Lepisosteus oculatus: one gene and its partner. The protein of the gene in region 2 interacts with the protein of the main gene of each other region in a pairwise test. Links are inferred from orthologs where the notes say so. Each region holds a gene or a part of one and is shown on either strand. Other genes may lie near its edges.

Region 1 (7,624 bases), about 11 Mb from region 2:
ACGAGCTTCAGAGCGGAAAGACTAATTCATCGTATTGCGAAAAATTAACGACATGGAGCTTGTGCATCAAAGTTAAAGGGCTTTTTCATGCTGAATTAAGATGCAGTACCATCACTTTTTACACCAGTATAACGCAGGACTGACAAGTGATACCTTGGCGGCATCACTTCGCTCCTGTTCGCCGCAGGGTCTGACGAGACAGAGGCGGCTCTGCTTCACCATCTCGCAGCGTCGGTTCCGATTCGTGACCCGCGTTGAGACACCCATCCCGCAGGTCCGCGAGCAGGCCCCCCACTCTGTGGTCTGCTCGATGCAGTTGAGACCGGGGTCTAAGATGTCAATTCCAGCCGTTCCCTCCTGCCTGTAAGCTAAAGTTACATTTAAAGCAAAGAAAAATGGTTAAAAATGTCCTTGTTTAATCTATATAAAAACAGGTTCAGTTGCTAGACGTTGCTTGTATGTCACCTGCTTCTTTTTATGCTTTGGATAATGGTTAGGATGTTAGGGAAAACCCCTTTCTAACCTAAAGATGAAAACGTCTCTTTTTCCAATTAAAACTGTGGTTTGTGATCCTACAGTTTCAGGTATTGCTGGCAGTAGACACAGTTCATCTGTATTTATATAGAGTTTTTCAAAGCTTTTTCACTCAATTAAAATTTGCCGAAAGTTGATATATAAAGTATAAACATGCTAATCAAACTCGAGGCACTACAGGTAATGTTTTTCACTTCAACACGGTGGTCGAGTTTTAGGTGGGTTTTATCAACAGTGCTTGGAAAGTTGTCTCATTAGTGTATTTCTTGAGGTACTGTATCTGTCGCAAAGGGGAGTAGGTCTGACAGCCCAAAGTGAGGTTTTTATTTTAGCTTTTTGGAGCTGCTGGAACAGACCTTTTGGGAAATAGTTGAAGCAGTACTCTAAATAGTAATGAAGAGTTCTCCATGTCAGACTTTAGCGACACTGCCACAAATCAGACAGGGCCTTAGAGCCAAACACTGATTTTCATCAAGAAAGCTTTAAAGAGTGAAAGTGTCCACATATAAACAAACAAATGAAAACCATAAAGGAAAAAAAGCATCGAAAAAAATACTTATTTCAAATCGGACCACTGCAGTATGAGAGCTCGCTAGATTTGCAGTATGGCCCCATGACCTTTGGCTGCCCTGTAGTTATCTCTCATCTTGGTGCAGAGTAGCCGCAGCTGTTGATTTAAAGCGGTTACCACTGGGGTGTCTATCGGTTGGTCGGTCGAAGCCATTCCTCACCCGCCATCGCCAAGCCCCCCAGCGAGGTGTGTGCCCTGGAGTCGCACACCCAGGTCTCGCAGCACTCTCCTGGCAGCCGCGCTCTCCGGGGGAAGGGGCAGGAGGGGCCCGGCAGCAGGACGTCCAGGTTACAGCGGGGGACGCAGCCGATCTCTCCGTCCCTGCAGGCGCACTGATACTGGCAGCTGGGGAAGAAGGTTTCCCCGTTTTGATAGACGGAGCCATCCAACACGCAGATGTCTCCTTCCCGGGCTGTAAACAAGGGGAGGGGGCAGCCGAGGAACGTATTTAAATACCGCGCGTTTTGTGGCAGCTCTGCGTTCAAGATTTATGAGGTTCCGGTTTAGAGAAAATGATAGAGCAGTGCAAAATGCTCAGTAGGGTGGGAATCTGCGACCTCTGCTCCAGCAACGGTTTTTTTTAATCTCGCAGAGACGCTAGGAGATGAGAAACTGAAGACAACATTTTTCTCTTTACATTTACAGGTATGGACTCATAATCTGACGTTTGTAAAAAAAAATAAACATACTTGAGAATAAACAAATATGCGTTTTAAACCACGATCCGATAAGAATACTATTCCTGGAATACTGAATTAAAATACAGATTTAAAACTTTGGGTTGACTATCTAATCCATCACTTTAAGTACCAAACTTTTTAATGTAAAGACCTTTAAGATCAGGGATAGAAACACTCATCGAAAACAATTACAAAGAAATCCAAATAAAAAAAATCACAGAAAGCAAAAATTTTGAAATACAAATTAGGTTTACTGCTGGCACTTTAAGAGGCCAATAAATCCTTAACAGGATTTTAACAACCATAACTCATCTAAAAAGTCTGTGAATGTCCATTTTTCGCTGTGGCATAATTTAATTGTGTAAAATAGAAACCTAACTACCATTGACCAATGGTAAATTTGTATTTCTGCATCAGAGGACGCCAGTGAACAGGTGTTTTTAATAACTAAATTTAGGTATCTGAGCGTCCAGGACATAATTTACTTTTCAATCTTAATGAATCAAGAGATTCAAAGAGTTACGCAGCACAGATTATTTTTCCCCCAAATTTTCCAGCGCATGCCTGTAGCTGTATTGTCCTATTTTTTAACGGATTTAGTTCTTGCTTTAAGGTGCAAACTGCATTCAAACATACACCTGAAAGACACCAACAATTACGAAAATTAAAAGATCACGAACTCTTTGCTCACCCACGCAAACACCGGTCTGCTCATTGACTCCTGCGGTATAATCGCAATGCAGGCCCTTACGGGTGTCGCAGGGGTATCTCTCTGAGCAACTTTCGCCTTTCTGGCGAGCGCAAACGAGGCAGCAAGCGCAGTCGTCCAGCACCAGCTGAATCCCAGGAGGGCACAGAGGTGCCTCTTCAGGACACCTGCACTGAGGTGAGCACGCATGGCCTGTCGCCAGGGAGCACAACTGTAATAATAATAATAATAATAATAATAATAATATCATCACTGGACTAGCAAAAATAAGAAGATGGGGTATCGATATTTTTCTAACCGAATTAGAAAAACAACAACATTAATGCTTTACAAAAAAATGATAAAAAAAACTCACCGTTGCAAAAGCGCTGAACAAGAACAGACGCATAGCTCCGTTTATATTTTGACTTTTTGTTTGCATTATCTTCTTTAGGTTTTCGCCCTCCCTGCTATTTTGAGTCTTCCAATTCCTTTATCCATGAAGTTAAATGTTCTGCTGAACTATTTATAAAGCCCTCTGGACATGCGTCGCGGTGATTGGGCAGGCTGTAGGGCGAAAGAAAACCAATGAATTAATGCAGGAAAACCGCTGTAGCTCTAGTTTGCCTTTCTCCGATTGGATGACTGATAACTCATATTGGCAACACACCTTCAAAAATGTTCGGCTTCCGACAGAGTAGCCAAACTGATGCTGTAGAGACAGTGTGCTAACATTTTCTTCAAAATGAGTACGGTTCGACGTTCCTGTGAAAAATGTCAATATGAAAACAACTGCATGAATAGATAAATCAATAGTTGTCTTAACATTAATCAAGATGTACTGAGATACATTCAAAACTCAACAAAATGAGTATTGGAAAATATTTTAATTCCTCTCGGTATATAAATCGCATTCATTCGAAATCCCAAGTTTGATTACCGTACACCAGAAACATTATTGTTAGTGCTCTCCTGCACGATATTATTGTCGGACAGCTTTCCTGGCAACAATTAAGTTAAGTATTTAAGTTTATTATTATTGAAAAAGAAGCAGCCGCGTTACTGTATAACTTCACAAGTGATGGTGGTCATTTTCAGTTCACATCGAAGTAATAAAAATGAGTGCTTCCTCTCTTCCCGTGACTGTAAATTATGAGACATCAGGAAACTCTAACGACCACTTAATTTTAAAAAAAGAATTTCATTAAACCGGATTTGCTGTTTCCAAACTCTTCATTTCACTTGGGATTAGTGTAAGAAAGATTGATTTTAAAAGAAAACAGACCATCATTTAATAACATTTACTGCTTTAATGCTTTTCTTTTTTGTGTGTCAAACGTGTTGAGCTGTTTTCTCCTGTAATTTTAAATGGATATCCCAGTTCGTGGTGAAGTGAATCAGATTTATAAATTACTTTTATTTCAAGGTGGAAATGCAAATAACATTATTCACATCTAGTTAAATAGTTTTACACTGGAAGCTGAAAAATGTCAGACTTAACAGTTCTGTGTTTGCCGCGTTTGTCTGAGTTACCCAGACTAGGATCCTGTACATTCAGTGTCAAGGTGCACATCATTAGAAGATAAATTCTGGCAGTGCCCATTCCTGGTTTGTAAAAAGCTACTATAATGTTATCAATATTAAAGCAGTGGAGGAGCAGAAATGGTTTGGTGTTGCCATGGATACTGCTACTCATTTTGAAGGTAATTTAAAATGTTGTAAAAATGTTTACTTTCTGTCTGTCCACAGGGACAGAAATCCTATCTGTTATCAATTTAGGATAAAGTATTAGATCTTATACAGGACAGGAAAATAAGTTTGAAGGGAACTTCAGAATTTGAGTTGTATTCCTGTTTCTAACCCACTAATTTCTGAAAGATCTACTTATAAAAGAGTTCTCCTTATTAAACTAAATTCAGTTTTTTTTTCCAAAAGGTTGTCTAATTGTTTTCACATTATTTTTCATATACCGTGCTTGTTTTTAATAGCTTACAGGTTTATCTGTGGTTTAAAAATGCAGAATGATGTAAATGTATGTTGTACTGTATATGCAAACTCACAATAGGAACTTTTTTTTGAAGAACAAGTTTGTTTAGAAATGGGGTCCATACAAGTTCCATGGGATTGTATGGTGAAAGATCTGAGAACAATTATACAAAATACAGTATGTCTTATTTGCTTCTTAGGATGAGTTTTTACATAGCTGTTATTTGTAGTCATTATGATGAGCAACCATAACTTGTAGGAAAATTGCCTAATGCATCATATAGTGACCAAGAAACTATTGATATATCTTATGTTTCTAACATAACATTAATTGAACTTCTCCAGCCCTGTTTTAAGTTGAATTACTGAAGACCAAATGGAAAAATCTACACACCTCCTACTTTTCCCACTTAAAAATCTCAAATTGCCATGAAATAGCTTACGATATTGCCAACAATAAATTGTGTAGAAAAAATTGCAGAAAAGTGAAATGTATTGAAGTCCATTATTTCTAGCAATGCTTGCCAAATGTAGGCTCACCATTATAAGATCATTTAGGGCTACAGAGACTAATTCAAGCTGAACATTATGATGAGAAAAAAAAAACTTCCATCACACTGCCTTAAGGCAGTAGCGAATAATGTAAAATTATTATGTTTTGCAAAGTGTATCTTTACAAAACTTCTAAAAAGGTGTCTTTGCAAAATGCACGACAAGAATTCTCATTGTTACACCATTAAATATTCCTTTAATAGACTTAATATTGTAATGCAACTAAGTTAATGTTCCTGTCTGTAACTTATTGTTTAGTTTTTAGACTTTTAACCTGAGAGAAAAGTTAGTATGACAAATTGTTTTTCTCTGCAGAGGCAACATTAGAGATTTTGTGTAAATAAAAAATATGTGAAAATGAAAAAAAAATGGTTTGCTAGTTACTGTAGGTGCTTCTTTCTCTTAAAAAATCTCTTCACCATATGTATGTATCATTATTGTATAGCCATGGTCTATGTACAGTATACTTTTTTCTGTAAGAATAACAATTTAGTTCTGTATCATGTGAATCATAAATCAGTACAATAGTCATTATTGGGCATACCATATACAGTAAGACCAGATTTCAAATTAAATTAAATTAAAATACTCTAAATAATTTTATCTAGCAGGCAGTAATAGGAATTAAGGAATCAGAATCCTAGTGTAATTTCTTGGACTAACTATTGTTTCAACATTTCAACTATCGATCTGCAGTGCTACAATTTGTTGTCACTGTTTGAACTTACAATCATGACACTGTCAAATATGATTTTATATTTAGAATCTGCAAAGTCTACTCCAAACTACTAAATTAAAATAAATCCTGATTGTAAATTAGTTATTGTAAGATTGTAAGATTCAGAATTTCTTAAGTATTCAACCCTTTTTCTGCAGAAACCATAAATCAGTTAAGGTGGAACAGATTAGTTTGAGAGCTGACAAAAGTAGTGTAATGGACTTTCTGTGTAATCAATGAGATTTAACTTGACTTCAGACTACAAGGATCTGTCTCTGTAAATTCCCTCAGGGACTGAATTTCAAGCCACAGCTCAAATATCACTGATGAAACAAACCAACTACAAATAGCAAGGATAACACGAACCCAAACTTTACTTGTTCTTTATTAATTTACTCATTGTTTTAACATTTTTTCCTAATTAATTAAAAATTGTAGCTATAGATCTCAGTTTAGCAAACATATTTATATTGTGAACGGTACTGTACATATTTATACTTTACATATTTGTACTTCTATATAACATTTTGATATCAAAGTCTGTAAGAGAAACACGTTTCTAAACCATAACAAACGTCAATAGAGCAGAGCAGAGTTGTGAAGCCTACCTACGCACATTAATGTAGCTTGTGAAATGTTTCTGTTGAATGCTACATGTCTCCACAGATAGCACAAACACTACAGGCACAATGAATAATGCATGATCAGACTGAAGTATTAGTATTGGGTTATGTTCAGGCTGTCTACATTGCTAACATTTTCTTCATAAGTTGATGGGATAAGGAAAATCTATCTCTGTATTGTATTTTTTTGACATACTGGTTTGCTAGTGGCACAAAGTAACAGAATTTAAACACAAATAACCAAAGAACGCAAGAAAAATAGCAGACAGGGTTGTGAATGCCAAATGAGATTAGCAGATCATCAGCGGCACTAAAAACCTGTTAATGGAACACACAAACAGAAACAAGGACATGCTGTAAGAATGTTTACCCATTTTCAAAATGAAAAATAAAATGTATGCAAACTTAAAAACAAATATTGATTCCACTTTATTTGTATTATTTTAAGAGCAGAACTAAGAGATTGATTTTACCCAGAAATGAATACTGAAAATACAGTATGTGAGAAAAGTGGAGTTATTTGTTACACATGTAAGAAAATGTAGAACTTGGCATGACAGAAAATTACTGATCCAAGCAATAACTCTATGAAGCATTTGTATTTTATTTAATATTATTTAATCAGATTATTACAAAATGAAGAACAATTAACAGAAACATACAAGGCATCATGTCATGTGTGCATCTTGTTCAATTTGTGAAGACAAAATGACAAAACAGTCATTAACACCATTTGTTAAGCTTTGGCATGATCTTAGATACCATGGCATGCAACAGAAAGGTCCAGTTAAAATGTACATTTTGTGTGTTGGGCAGTAAACTGGATAGAAAGTTTAGGCAGGGTGGTTGTAGATTGGCCTGCTGTTCAGGGACTAACCACTTCATCACATCTAGAATATGTGGTCACATCAATAGCTGCATTTTTCCTTGCTGCTGGAAAAAAAGTTAGACTTTGTTTAAAATCATTGCCATAATAATTACTGTAAATGATATATAATTATTATTCAGTTGGAAGCATTTGCTATAGTTCCATTTTTACAAATAAAATTATTCTCTAAATTGCTATATCAAATGCAACAAAATCTCGTTAACATCTGTTCACTGTATTCATTAATGCCACATGAATAATATTGCTAATGTTGCTAGTGTTGTTGCCAGAATATGTCATAAAGTAAGTAAGGAATGGAACATTTTGAGCCTGTACTCAAAAGCCCATTCATTTGTGTAATGCTGTCATGTTTAGAAAACTTCACAAATTAGAAGAAAAGTATT
Region 2 (7,671 bases):
AACTCCTGGAGCTGGAGAAGGAATTTCATTTCAACAAGTATCTGTGCCGACCGAGAAGGGTGGAGATAGCGGCTTTGCTAGATCTGACTGAGAGGCAAGTCAAAGTGTGGTTTCAGAACAGGCGAATGAAGCACAAAAGGCAAACCCAGTGCAAAGAGAATCACAACGGCGAGGGGAAGCTCAGGAACCCGGAGGACGGCGGGCAGAGCGAGGAGGAGAAGTCGCTTTTCGAGCAAGCCCTCAACAATGTCTCAGGAGCCCTCTTGGAAAGGGAGGGCTACGCTTTTCAACAAAATTCTCTGACTCCACAACAGGCTCCGAACGCGCACAATGGAGATTCCCAAAGTTTTACTGTGTCGCCTTTAAGCAGCAATGACAAAAATCTGAAACATTTTCAGAGCCCGTCACCCACTGTTCAGAACTGCCTGTCAACAATGGCCCATGACTGCACAGCTGGCCTCCACAATGACAGCCCCGAGGCCCTGGACGTGTCCTCTTTACAGGATTTTAACGTTTTCTCTTCAGATTCCTGCCTGCACCTTTCAGATGCCGTTTCCCCTAGTTTGCCAGAGTCTCTCGACAGCCCTGTAGACATTTCTGCCGACAGTTTTGATTTTTTCTCGGACACTCTCACAACAATCGACTTGCAGCATCTCAGCTATTAAATGGGGGGGGGAAAATCCGGTCTAGCGACTCTTCATTGCAAAAAGAAAAAAAAAACTATGCCTTCTCCTTTATTCTAAGTTGATTTGTTTATTTCTTTCTTTGATATGGTCAGTACATTTTGTTTATTAATGAATGAATTAGTTAATTCAGTACAGAAGATAAAAGTCCACGCTCTAATTTTTGTAAAAGTTTAGTCTGGCAATAATTACAATTAACCATTTAAACATTAATTCTCCAAAAGCAATACATTGGTTCTGTAAAAAAAAATAGAATTTAGTCTCTGTTCTTTTATTTTTGTATCGCTTTCGGGTACATTGTCATGAATATTTTGTTAGAATAAATTTTACTTGCTACAGGTAGCTTTCAATAATTGTGTCACTGCATTATTTCCAGGTCCAAATGAAAATTAAAATGTATTTTTATATTACCCGCCTCTCAAACAACACGAGATTGAACAAAATGGAAGGTCAGAATATTTTATTATTCCACAACAAATCAAAAATGAACATAAAGAAAGGTACAATGTTAAACGTATTTTAGAAAAATAACAGTAAAGTATACATTTAAATGTATCAGCAATTAACTTTTTAAAATTAAATTTATGAGTCAAATTTTCAAATTCGTTTTCAAAAATATAATTTGTATAATCTGTACAGGATAATATTTGGGTGTAATTCCTAAAACTACTTATTATTACCATCACCAATAATAATAATAATAATAATAATAATAATAATAATAATAATAATAATAATAATAATAATAATATAATGTTTTCCATTGTGTCTCTCTCTTGAAACCCAAAACTATTCTTCGTTCCCGAACCTAAAATAAGATAAAAAGTATTTACTAAAACAAACAGCAATTTCAAAGTTTTACAGGCATGTTCTTTTTCTTTCATAACAACAAAAACTTTAAAAGCGCAGTTAGTGCAAAAGACCGTTTCACCGAGTTTCAATCTCGCAGGACGTGGTGGAATGGGATTCTGCCGGGTGAGCTCAGGCAGTAGCTGAACACGAACAACTAGAAAGAGCTTCCAGCGGGGAAATGTCTAAATGAATTAAATATAGTTTCATATAGGAATCTTTCGGGATGCTGCATTCGGTGCATAGTCGGAAATAGAAAACTCTTGGACAGGCATAGGTAATTTTGCACTTTAAAATAAAACATTGAATAATCTTAATATTGTTTAAGTTAAAACGCACTGTATCGTAGCCTTCTGTAGTTTACAGCCTTCGTCCTTTTAAAAGACAGGCACAGAGTTATTGTTACGGCTTACACTTGGTATCTGTGGAAATCAAACTTCGTATTGCTGGAGTTTGTGCAAAAAGCGGCTTTATGCAGACTAGAGCCCGGCTTCTCAGAAAGCGCCCTGGCTTAGTTTGTATTACTCTGCAAAACGTGATGGAATTGCGTAAGAAGTGGCTGGAAGGCCTGGATGAAATTCTTCCCAAACTCATAAATCAAACTCTCTTTTATGAATGAGAATGTCATCAAAGAGATCAATTGCAGGAGCACATGCACAAATAAAAACCTCTTACGTATTTGGAGGGACTGGGGATTCCCAGCCAAAAGCATTAACTTTGTAGGCGTTCGGCAGTAATTCATTTTTATTGCCATTTAAACCAGCAGAGCGGCCTGAGAACGGCCGCCGATGCACCGAGATGCTCTCTGCTCAACTCAGAGCGGGTGTTACAATCTCTTTAAGTGCACTTTTAAAATATATATAATATTCTTCGATTTGTTTAGTTAAAAGTTTATGTTCACATTTAACAATGGACTTCAAATCGACATAAACGTAGTTTGTCTTATGCACCAAAATATATGTATATTTAAGATTATTTTTATATAGTTTTTCCTAAAAGGGTGTCTATAGTGAGCCTTTCTATTTAGTCAATAAAATTATTCTTCTTTATTATCCACATTCTATGCCTCATCCAGAGATTGTAATTTGTTATTACGATGATATTTTCCTCTAATTTGGAATCGATCGAACATTATTAAATCTATTAAACTGTAAACCACATAGGCAATAACGTGACATTTTGCCAATTATATGTTGCCATAAAGCAAATTTTCTCTGGACACAAACATCTAGAAACCTTTAAAGAATGAAGACTTTTTCGGGACTATCTCCCACGCTGGCGAATCGACGGTTTTGAAAGGAATTGTATCAGAGTGCCCCTGAAACAATACCTCCTTTCTTTCGCAACTCCGGCTGTCAACAATTCGCATTTTAAAGACGTGGGCGATGTGGAAACTTCACAGAGCTGGACAGGCCTGTTAATGTATTTCTGGGTTTTTTTTATTGTGATGGTAAGTTTACATGCCTTTCCATTTTGTGCGTTCTATCTTATAAGGTATACTATTTTTTTGTATGTGAAAAAAAACACAAAACAGTGCAGATTGTGCACACGTACTAAACGACATACGTTCATCTGGCAATATTTGAAAGCTTAAATGTGTAGTTACTGCAGACAGAGCTGGGCGTTGTGAAAGAGCCACCTTTCCTGAATCCCTGGATTCAAGCGAGATCGCCATCTTATTGCACAGCGCTGACCACGGAGTCTCGCCTTGTGTAAGGTCGCAGTGGAAACAGGGCCGGTGGACAAAACACCACGTAATCGGGAAAGCCTAAATATACATATTGGGTATATGATAACAGCAATAGAATAAATGTGCATTGTAGGATAACTAAATTAACGCCGGGTAATTTCGTTATCGATTAATCGATGGATACGTTTAATCATGCTGACGCACAAACAAGTTTAGGGGTGAATGGCTAAAATATTCCATTCTGGAACCACTACGCTATTATAGGAAACCTTCTGTGGGGTGGCATGTTTCGATATTACTCTTCTTCAGCTGTTGCTCGTGCCATTTAGACATTTGTATGCCAGTTTAGATGGTTTTGTCTGACCGACATAGCCCCTTTACAACTTTTTATCGAATTAAGAGAAATTACGTCCTAAAAAGCATTAAGTATTTAGAGGAACGGTTTCGGAAGCTGTGCTAAAAAAAAAACGAATGAAGAGAGTCACGTCAGCTATATTGTGAGGGAAACCGCACACCAGGCGGGATAAAGTCTTATTTGTAGAGTTGAATGGTTGGTCTCTCAAAGTTGGCTCGTCTCTACAGACCCAGCGGATATGAGCAGATGAACCGCGTCACAGCTCCCCTCTCAGGCTCCGCCCATTTCAGGGGTTTCCCAGGCCGGTCCTGAAGGGGCGCGATCCTGAAGGTTTTCTAGGTCTCCTGAGATCAGCGGCACCTCCAGACTTGAGAAAATCTGCTCAACTCTTCCATCGAAGCCAATAAGTAGCTAAATTAGACCATTGACGGCTGTGCTGCGATGAAAGCCAGCAGGACTGCGAGCCTCCGGGGCTAGGCTTGGGAAACCAAGACCTATATCGTAGAATGAAAGACGTGTCGGTTTAGACTGTAGTCCAGCCTGTGTTCACCTCCAGCCGCCGGAGAAGGTGATGCGCGGAGCTCAGAGCGCTCTGATAGCATCGCTGACTTTGGTTACAGAAGGCTCTCATCTCCATGCCGACAGCTGTGAACACACACAGACACCTGATAGGATGCGACCTGTCTGCCGGCTCTCGAATGCTGACGAGCAGCAACTTCAATCCAAGCATCGACCCCCAGCTAAATGTTGAATCGAGCTCACCTTGTCTTTTCACACTACAACACTCAGAAGGCAAACGTGAAATACATGCTAAATTCCAAATCCCACTTTATAAATGTGCCCCAAAGACATATTTAATCTTAGACTTGATGTTGACTACAATAATACGTTCAGTTAAACAGAAAACATTTCACAACCAGAGATGGCGCTTTTCTTACCTTGTGCTTAAGTGATGCTGAAACAGCTGTGCTTTCGGGATGGAAAAGCGAGAAAAGAAGAAACGTTATCCATCAGGAACATGGGCTGTTTATTGTCTCGAGAAGTGTCCTGAACGATTTCCGCTGCACTCTGTCTCGCCCATTGTTTGAACTAGCAATACATTACGGGCTGGTGTGCGTCACCTTGATAGAGGAGCGTGGAGAATTTAAATGTCTGTAAACCGGTGATCTATCACCGCCAGCAGAAGGCTATCTCAGCACCGCTGTGCAGCCACTGGCGGACACGAGTCACGTGACCCCCGCTCCTCATTCATATCGGTCTGTGCTGGCCCGATGGACGAACTGGGCAAGTTGGCACGGTCACCCGGGCTGGAGCACGGTCATCGCTTCAGACCTGACCAGTCGTGACAGGTAGACAATGCTACAATGAGCTCCTTCTTAGATTACCCTGTGATCAGCGGAGAAACCGCATCCTGCTCCTCCAGGGCTTTTCACCCAGACCATGGGATTACAACTTTCCCGTCGTGCTCTGTCACAACTAATACCTGCGGCGCTGACGATCGCTTTGGCGTGGGCAGGGGCTCGCCAGGGGGCATTCCTCACCACCCTCACCAGCCGGCCGCCTACCAGCCTCACAGCAGCCTGAGCCTCACCTACCCCAGTCACCCCAGCTGTGGCGCGGGGTATGCCACACAGGGCTTCTGTGCGAGTTACAATCATTACCCACTGAACCAAGACGTGGAGTCTAGCGCGGGGTACCCTCAGTGCGCCCCAGCAGTTTACTCGGGGAACATTTCGGCTTCCATGGTGCAGCACCACCAGGGCTACACCGGAGCGTCGGTGGGGGTACTTCCGTACACGCACGGCGCTTACGGCCACGAGCAGGCGAACCTGCCCCTTCCCGGCTACACGAACCCCCTGTCTCCTCTCCACGCCTCTCACCACGACCCCTGCTGCTCTCCTCTGGCCGAGACATCGCCCCAAGCACAGACCTTTGACTGGATGAAAGTCAAAAGAAATCCGCCCAAGACCGGTGAGTGTCACGCTGTTGCGCACCTTTCTGACCGTTGATGTGTCTTTCTGCGACGCTTAAGGAAAACTGAATTCAACAGTTTATTTCTGTATCGTTTAGTTGTGTTGTACTGTTGTCATGCAAAAAGCACATGTGACGAGATTCTGTAACCCTTGTGCGTTTCCTCAAGGAGCACCTATTCTATACCCAGCCTGTGGAAGTCGACCTCAAAGTGTTTTCCACCTGTTCGCCCGGTTTTGTCATTAAGCGCACATCCTCTGTGATGTTCTCTCACACGAATGTCGATGCTCAGGCTGACATCCTCTGCACTTTTTTTGGTTTCCAGGGAAAGTTGGAGAATACGGTTTCGCCGGCCAGCCCAACACGGTGAGAACGAACTTCACCACCAAGCAGCTGACGGAGCTGGAGAAGGAGTTTCATTTCAACAAGTACCTCACGCGAGCCAGGCGGGTGGAGATCGCAGCAGCTCTGCAGCTCAACGAGACTCAGGTGAAAATCTGGTTCCAGAACCGGAGGATGAAGCAAAAGAAACGCGAGAAAGAAGGTCTGTTGCCGAGTTCTCCGTCGGCAGCAGCAGAAAGCGAAGAAAGAGAAGACGCGTCGGAAAGATCCCTTTCCGCCCCTTCGACACCTTCTCCAGCCTCATCCTCAGCGTCCACCGCGGAGACGTGTCCCTCCAGCTGAAGCTCCTGAGCAGCGCGCTGACAGACCAGCCTGTCATGCGGCTGCACCTCTGAGCTCCAGTCATACTCATCGGAGGAATGTGGCAGATTGCATTGTCCGCATTTTATCATGTTGTTTTAGTGATATAGAGCAAGTAAGTGCTGGGATTTAGATGATCGGAATTTCAATGACAACAATATGTATTAAAACACAAGACAGATGACACAGTACATACTGCAGTCAGCAAGCTGTTTTCAACCACATGTGTAACTTCCCCATAATTTCAGGTGATGATGACAAATCTAGAGAAATGCACTAAATGCAGAGAGTTTGCAGTCGGGTGATCTTGCCTAAACTCTTCAGCTTATGATTTGCAATTATGTAATTACTTTGATGCAGTTATAATATGTGTATTTAATCCATTTTTTAGAATCTCTTTTTACATAACGACGGTAAGATGTTAAGGGTATAGAAAGACACAACTTAGGAGCGATCTTACATTTTTTTTATTTTATACAGGAAAAAACGATAATGAAAAACAGATACCTCATAAAGAAGACAAGCTCACTTTATTGTAAATTGTGTTTATTTGTGTGAAATAAAACGAAATTGCACTGAAACGTTTTACTATTGAAATGTTCAAAGTGGGCTCATCCCGAGCCTGTGAAGTCGCACACTTTAAATACCTCGGAATACCAAGTTGTATTTGACACCTGTGTTCGTGACGACGTCTGCATGATGCACAGCGCTTTGATGTACCTCCCTTAACACTGAGTTTTATCAGTTGTAAAAGTATATTTCTGTACAAGCGAAGAAACTATAACAACACATGTAATGTATTTGAATCGAGTAAAGTTTACGGGTCTATGTATGATATGTATTAAAACTATCCTGCTTCTAAACAAACCAGAAATGACTTTTTTTTCCCACAACAGGGTTAGGAGTTAATTTGGGATCATAACTTAGTTCGTTTTAATATAAAGGTAGTATAGTCTACCTGCACATACCTGCGCATTTTATTGCTAAACAGTTTTCTCCTCATTAGCCTCTCATTAGCCTCAAAATGACGAATATTTTTCAGCTTCCCTTTGGAGTTTGTATGGCAGAGAGAAAGAATTCCAGTCGAATTCCAGTCTCCGGGCCCTTTCATCTGACGTCGCAGAAGCTACTGACATGAAAGTCAACACCGCAGTCTCCAGAACGAGCCTTTTCATGGAGTTTGCCTGCAGTGCTACACCGAAGGGGCCATAATGTTTAACTTTAAAGGCCGGAGAAAACAAAACCGAGAAAAATACTTATTTTCTTTTTGACCGGATCCTAAGAAGCCTTTTTTTTGCACGCTACAGCATGGCAGCATGTGTAGTCTGTTTGCACTAGATTTTTACAGACCGTGCGCGAATACTATAGAGGAGCATTTTCTTAATTATAATCTTAGTCATTCTACAATTCCATTAAACTAT

Evidence for each region. The genes of interacting proteins can lie anywhere in the genome.
Region 1: the proteins of hoxa1a (region 2) and ccn3 interact in binary tests that used the Homo sapiens proteins (3 or more experiments, as listed by UniProt). The link is inferred for Lepisosteus oculatus from reciprocal best matches to the Homo sapiens genes HOXA1 and CCN3.

The regions. Positions count from the first base shown.
Region 1 is NC_090705.1:11,431,400-11,439,023, forward strand, and holds the start of ccn3 (CCN family member 3), read right to left. Parts: upstream 3,004-7,624; 5' UTR 2,916-3,003; coding exon 2,850-2,915; intron 2,706-2,849; coding exon 2,477-2,705; intron 1,518-2,476; coding exon 1,266-1,517; intron 369-1,265; coding exon 154-368; intron 1-153. UniProt on the Homo sapiens protein: Immediate-early protein playing a role in various cellular processes including proliferation, adhesion, migration, differentiation and survival. Acts by binding to integrins or membrane receptors such as NOTCH1.
Region 2 is NC_090705.1:602,701-610,371, forward strand, and holds hoxa1a (homeobox protein Hox-A1a), read left to right. Parts: upstream 1-4,835; 5' UTR 4,836-4,941; coding exon 4,942-5,548; intron 5,549-5,873; coding exon 5,874-6,232; 3' UTR 6,233-7,164; downstream 7,165-7,671. Other genes in the region: hoxa2b (homeobox protein Hox-A2b), read left to right, coding at 1-665. UniProt on the Homo sapiens protein: Sequence-specific transcription factor. Regulates multiple developmental processes including brainstem, inner and outer ear, abducens nerve and cardiovascular development and morphogenesis as well as cognition and behavior.